Nothobranchius furzeri: one gene and its partner. The protein of the gene in region 1 interacts with the protein of each later gene in a biochemical or structural test. Links are inferred from orthologs where the notes say so. Each region holds a gene or a part of one and is shown on either strand. Other genes may lie near its edges.

Region 1 (4,396 bases):
CTCACTCCTCTGATCAAACTGCTCCAGTTGTCTTAGGTTTGAAAGGTGCCTTTTCCAGATGGGTGTGTTTCATCTCCTTCCAAAGATGCTCAATAGGATTGAGGTCAGGGCTCATATGGCCACTTTAGAATAGCGCAATGTTTTCCTCTTAGTCATTCTTGGGTGTTTTTAGCTTCATTTCTGGGTCATTGTCCTGTTGCAAGACCCATGACCTGCATTCTGGCACTAGTCAGCACATTTCTCTCTAGAATCCTTTGATAGTATTGAGATTTCATGTACCCTGCACAGATTCAAGACACCCTGTGCCAGATGCAGCAAAGCAGCCCAAAACATGACAGCGCCTCCTCCGTGTTTCACAATAGGGCCAGTGTTCTTTTCTTGATATGCTTCATTTTTCCATCTGTGAACATAGAAGTGATGTGCCTTGGTAAAAAGTTCAATTTTTGTCTCATCTGTCCATAGGACATTCTCCCGGAAGTGTTGTGGCTTGTCAACATGTAGTTTGGCTTTTTTATTATTTGTTTTCAACAATGGTTGTCTCCAATGTAGTCGACTTTGACTCAAACAACAATGGATGGCGCGATCTGACACTGATAATCCTTAAACTTGAAGTTCACCTTGGATTGCTTTAGAAGTTTGGGCTCTTTTGTAACCATTTGGATTATCTGTCTCTTTGATTCCTCATCAATTTTCCTTCTGCGGCTGCAACCAGGAAGGTTGGCTACAGTACCATGGATCTTAAATGTCTGAATAATATGTGCAACTGTAGTCACGGGAAGCTCTAGCTGCTTGGACATGGTCTTATAGCCTTTACCTTTCAACATGCTTGTTAAAAAGAAAAGACAAATCTTTCCTTTGCTTCCTCTGGTCCATGTTGAGTGTGGTGCATACCATGTCACCAAAAAATTGTGATGTGTCCGATGTGTCCAATGTGTCGACGCTTCGAAACGTGTGTCAGGTATCCAGGAAGATTTTTTTGTGAAGCGCGTGTCGAGGCTTGTGTTGATTACATAAGCAGCGACGTTCGAGGCCTCGTTGGCAGTCGGTACCATTTGACCGATTCAGGAACTGGCTCGCCGGTTTGCACCGGATTCAAAATAAAAGGGGCAGCCAAACACTGCTGATTCCCCCTGTCGCATTGTGCTGTTGAGACTCTGTGTCCTGTTAGGTTCCTTTCTCTTTTGGACCAGACAGTATATTAAAAGGACAGTTTAAGACATTAAGAATATATTGCCATCATAAGCATTTATTTTTTCAGTTTAAATGTTTGCCGTTTTACTTGAATCATCCACTTGATGGCACAATAGAGCAATCAATCAAGAGTTGACCAGTTGACTGGAATGCTTCAGCTCATCATCACTACCCAATAGCATAGTGACCTGGAGCCCTGGAGCCCACGCCCACTGACTGATTACAAGATTGTAGACACCTGTCTCTTTGCTCACATTGTTTTCAGTCTTTTCTAGGGGTACCATCCTTTTAATCCAGGCCTGTTCCATAAGTTTATTTTTTAAATAATTCTGTTGAAGCAATGGTTGAAAAGCAATGTCTGACTTTAATTGGTTAAATTTCATAGAATTTTTATTTATTGTAACTTTTGTCAGGTTCAAGTTGTTTGTGACCATCGTGGGTTTTTCTTTAACTGACTGGAGGGTATCAACAATTTTGTCCATGTCTGTACATTTGATTTTACTTCATATATGCATATTACATTATTTTTACATGATCAACTCTGGATTTTTATTAGCTAGAAATAATTGCAATTAGGTAACTAAAATGATAAGAATCTCAAGGTAAATGTATGTTATTTAAATATTATGTACTAGTTTTATGTAGCTTCAACTGAAGTTCTGCAACATATTTTCTTCATGCAAAATAGATAAATGTTTATTAAACCCACATTTTGTTTTCTTTTACTGCTCACAAATTTCTAATTATTGCATAGTTAAAAGCAAGTTTTTGTGCGAATAAACAAAAACCCATGGTACAGAAACACATAATTAAAACGTGAGAAAAAAATCTAAAAAGCACTACTTCTAATTTACATAGAAAGTAATGAGCACACTTTATGCGTTTTACTTTTTTATTTTTATTGTATTATTTTTAAAAATGTTTTTAAATGTACTTGTGTCATTGATGTAATACCGCAGATTGAACACGTGGTGACGCCAAATAGTCACTTTTTACCCTTTTACAAAGCCAAGACGTCAAAAATAATTCTTTTAATGTAGGTCAGAGAAGTTGACTGTACGTGTTCGTCTCAATTTTTTATTATTGAAGGAGACACATTTACTCTCTAAAGGTATTTAAAAACGTGTTTTTTATTAAAGTGCTAAATAGTCCTAAAACAATCTCAGGTGAATGGGTGTTCTTGCTAACCTGCTTCCTGTAGGCTTGTTTTCACTCCAAAGACAAGCAAAGCCGTTGTTTACCGGTGATTTGACGGGCGCTCACCTGTAGTGACGTAAGCAGGACAGGCAGCGAACTGTGACGGAGGGCGGCGGAAGTCGACAGCCGCTGTTATCAGCTCAGCTCGTGCAGAACCGCCGGACTGACCCGAATCTCAGAACTGGGCAGCCGCGCTCGGAGGCGCACCTCTCAGGTAAGGACTCGCTTTCCTGGACTCGGCGTCTTCTCGTAGTTCGGAAGCTTGGAGATGTCTGGCAGACATTTTTCTCCCACGCGACTCCGTCATTCTGGCGACGCTGATGTTTCAGACTAAATCCAGCGAGTGAAAACATCTGAAATGAAGCTTGTTATTTATTTACTTTAACGATCAAAACTGCTGTCAGAACCGAGGTCATGCTCTGGCCTTTGCTCCCATCTTAAGACCGTAATAACATGTTGGAGTTGGTCAGGAGGTTCGGAGGCATTCATCAGAAACAATGGAGTTTATTTTCCTGTAGTTTCTAGTGTGTGTGTGTGTGTGTGTGTGTGTGTGTGTGTGTGTGTGTGTGTGTGTGTGTGTGTGTGTGTGTGTGTGTGTGTGTGTGTGCCATGACTCATGGGTTAAGTCCCTTAATATAAGTTGACAACAAACTGCCTGTAAGATTTGAGTTTGGTTAGGGTTAATGTTTTTGTCCTGATTTATTAAAAGCATTTTTCTGATGTTGTAGGTGTTGAAGGACTCAGCTGCAGGACACTATGTCTCGCGGTGAATCAGAGACATGCATGGACAACCAGAACCCTCAAATGGAGACTCGCTTCTCCACGGAACTTCATATATATGAGCCGGGTGATAAAGGTTACCCCTCAGAAAGCCCTCCAGCTCCCCTGGCTGAAGCATCCACCCCTCCAGGTGAACCACCCCCTCCCCAGAAGGAGGAGGACACGGTGGATAGAGCCGCAGTGCCTCAGCAGGTAGTTTTGAGCACCAAGAGCGCCGCAGCAAAGAAGTTTGGCACCTTCCAGCTGATTCCCAAGAACTTAGCAGCGACCAGCCGACCTAAAAACCGACACCACACCACTGTGGTGATGTTCCCACTGGGACTGGAGAAGTCCAGCAATGAGAACCGCAGCAGCTGCTCAGCCCTCGAGGCAGATGCACGGTGGGAAGATTGTGAAAGTGATGGAGAGGGCTCGGCTTTCAGGAGGAACCGGAATAAGTCGTACAGAGCAGCGGTGACCAGTCTGGACATTGAAGCCATGGTGGCAGGACGAAAGGCCCCCGCTACTCTGAAACCCGTAGATGAAAATAGAGCGAGCAGCCCTGGACCGGCTCGTAGCGCTAGACGCAAGGTATACATCCAAAACGTGGTGTGGCGATGTGTTTGTAGTCCTCCAAGTAACAGGAGCTGGTTTTATACGCAGTTTCAAAACATTAAAACTTTGTTTAGTCTTTTCCTTTACGTCAGTCTGCTGCCAAAGTGGCAAAGTTTGATAATGGGACATAAACAGCAGATAATCAGCCAAGAGGAGCCAATCCTCTCTGCTGATTAGTCACAGGGACAGAATGACATCCAAACATTTTTACAGAGGCTTTTGCAGGAACTTTAATCAAAAAATTTGCAATTAATATCTGTAAGTAGGAGTTGATCTTGAGACTGAATAATAAAATCAAGCTATGTCTCTCTGTAGCGAACCCTGGGGAGAAAGAGGAACCAGCGTGGATCATTCAAAGACGGTACATTCACTCTTGTGTCACTCTGTCTGCTCGGCTAAATTTGGTTACAGCACTACCCAGTAGTGGAAACTTTTTCTAAACATGCATCTAATTAATCTTTAGAAGAAATGTTTGCTGTGGAATTTTTACGCAAACAAAATGGTTTGATGGAATCATTTACAAGTGTCGTTTCTTGGGAAACGGCTTGAGGAAGTGGACAAGGACCAGGATATCAGTCTTTCTGAATGACAAATGTCTGCATCCTGCAGGGTGGACATTTGTCATGAACTTTTA
Region 2 (2,548 bases), on another chromosome or scaffold:
ACGAGTTGTTTCCTCTTTTAAGTTGTTGTGTACTCTGAAGTTAAACCTAATCACTGATAATCTGCTGAGAATGTTCAGAAAATGTCAATTTCAGCATTATTTTAAATCACTTGTTGCAAAACCAAAAGCTCATTGTGAGCTAAGGATAATGTATGTATTCAGAAATAATAAAGAGTGAAATGTGATGCAAAAAATATTGTTTGTGTGGATTTTCTGGGACAGATGATATGGATTAGTGAAGTGGTTTGTGTATGAAGTGAGTTTGAGCTAAATGAAATAAATTACACATCTAGTCTGAACCGTAACAGTCTCCATTCTTACCATTAATCTCCTAATCCAACACTCTTTTCAAGATTCGTAAGATACAGTTAAAAATCTGGACACTAACCCGAACTTATTTTCTTTATTACCTTTTTTGTTAGGCCTGTTTCAGATTTGTGGATTTATTTTTCATTTATGAGTCTGCAGCTTTGATGATGTGAGCTAATAGGTGTGTTTGTTCACAGGGCATCTATGTGACCAGGATAACACCAGGAGGACCGGCAGAAGTGGCAGATTTAAGGATAGGAGATAAAATAATGCAGGTGCGTCATTGTTGTTGAGGAAATAAATCCACATGATGGCACTGTTTCCTCCTTTAAGTGCCTCTGAAGTAGTTCTTCTTCCTGGCAGGTGAACGGCTGGGACATGACCATGGTGACCCATGATCAGGCGCGTAAAAAACTCACCAAGAAGAAGGAGGATGTGGTGCGATTGCTAATAACCAGGAAGTCACTGGAACAGGCAGTCAACCAGTCAAAGGGCAAATATCCCAGACCGTGATGTCTTTGCACCCCCCCCCCCCCAACACACCCACTATAACAGCAGCTTCACACAAGAACTGAGAACCCTCGTGTACACAGAAGATGTTCAGATGATTGTAATGAAACCAATGCAAAAAAAAACAGAAGGTCTCAGAATACATCAGGTGTGTGTGTGTGTGTGATGTTTAGCTGGCAATCTGAAAGTTTGACACTTCTTTTTAGAGTCTCACCTGCACTTCTTAGCTCTGTTGAGATATCTGAAAGTATGAGATTATCCTAAATCTGGGGCATCTTTTAAAAAGAGGAGAACAAGCAGAGAACTTAATAAAGAAAACCAAGATTTCCATAATATCACACAGACCCACGCTTTTGGAGAACTAGTGCATTTCCCTGGAACGCAGCTTTATTTGCTGTGTAGAACAAAGTTATGGAATGGTTCCCATTCAACTTGTTTTTAAAGTCAAATTTAAATCATTCTTAAATATTTTTGGGAACATTTTATTTTTTGTTTTTGTCTATTTTCTGCTGTGAAACTAGAACAAATCCCAAAGTTAGAACCAAGCCACTGTAAGACCATAATACAGAATGTAATGCAGCTTATGTGATCATTTATAAAATAATGGTACCATATACTGTGTAAAACCTGTACAAAGGTACAAAGTGTATATTGGTGTCAGTATGTTTTTTTTCTTCCTTTTTGATACAAGAGTTTCTAGCTTTGGATCACTCACTTTGTGGTATTTTTTATTTTTACTATGTTCTATTACTTTTGTAAACTTTATCTAGCAAGAAAAAAAACATAATTTGTTGTTTTTAGAGAAAAATCAATCCTGATCAGCTTTTACTGTCTCAAAACTTTAAAACTACAATGAATATTATGGATGTTGCTTTGGATGCAAAAACGTTGTCCTACTCAAACACCTTTCTACTTTATTTTTAGTTTGTTTAAAACTCCAATGATTGATCATCTCATGTTATTAAGCATGTATCAAAAATAAATGAGAGATGACAGGTTATTCAACTTTTCCCACATTTAAACAGCAAATCCATTGTTCTTAAACACAAATCTGTACATATTTCCTAATTTTCTATCTTTGACAGTGGATATTGGGTCATGCTTTTTCATGGTATTTTGTATGTTTTTGATGGCATTTGATTAATAAACTGTTGAATAAACTTCTGTACATCTAAGGTTTGTAGCATGTGTTTTTGATATTAAAATGCTTTGTTTACCTCCATCACAACAAAGTTAAAGGCACATTCTGCCTAATGTGTCTTGTGCTCTGGCAAATCAAATCATTAAAATAAGGCATTGACGTCTTTTTAGATTTATTTTTCCTTTTTACACTCAACAGACCATAATTGAAACTCCAGTAAAACAATTAAAAAAACTAAAATTCCCTTTTCAGATCATTGAAATGGGCGTATTAGCAATAATTGACTAATCATCCCTTTTTGGTACCCAGTAGAACTTCTGCACACAGTAGAAAAATTGAGTTTGTCATTATGTTCAGATGATCACAGTAAGTCTGTTAACATCAACGTTTCCAGTACAAAAAATGTAAAACACATTATTATAGTCTCAAAATATTTCTGACTCCCCTTCTTTTAAACCTCACATGCCCTTCAAATAGTCATGTTGTCACCTTTAAAGTAATCAACTGACATTTTGAAGCGAATAATCCATTTCCTGACCTTTATGCATTGACCAACGAGCTTTTAAAGTTCAGAGACAAAAGCCCCCT

What was found. The genes of interacting proteins can lie anywhere in the genome.
Region 2: the proteins of arhgef16 (region 1) and tax1bp3 form a complex in vitro, tested with the Homo sapiens proteins (2 studies listed by BioGRID and IntAct, with this or other methods). The link is inferred for Nothobranchius furzeri from reciprocal best matches to the Homo sapiens genes ARHGEF16 and TAX1BP3.

What each region holds. Positions count from the first base shown.
Region 1 is NC_091755.1:32,500,244-32,504,639, forward strand, and holds the start of arhgef16 (rho guanine nucleotide exchange factor 16), read left to right. Parts: upstream 1-1,590; 5' UTR 1,591-1,673; intron 1,674-2,392; 5' UTR 2,393-2,602; intron 2,603-3,116; 5' UTR 3,117-3,144; coding exon 3,145-3,738; intron 3,739-4,077; coding exon 4,078-4,123; intron 4,124-4,396. UniProt on the Homo sapiens protein: Guanyl-nucleotide exchange factor of the RHOG GTPase stimulating the exchange of RHOG-associated GDP for GTP. May play a role in chemotactic cell migration by mediating the activation of RAC1 by EPHA2.
Region 2 is NC_091748.1:55,896,232-55,898,779, forward strand, and holds the end of tax1bp3 (tax1-binding protein 3), read left to right. Parts: intron 1-506; coding exon 507-584; intron 585-672; coding exon 673-822; 3' UTR 823-1,994; downstream 1,995-2,548. UniProt on the Homo sapiens protein: May regulate a number of protein-protein interactions by competing for PDZ domain binding sites. Binds CTNNB1 and may thereby act as an inhibitor of the Wnt signaling pathway. Competes with LIN7A for KCNJ4 binding, and thereby promotes KCNJ4 internalization.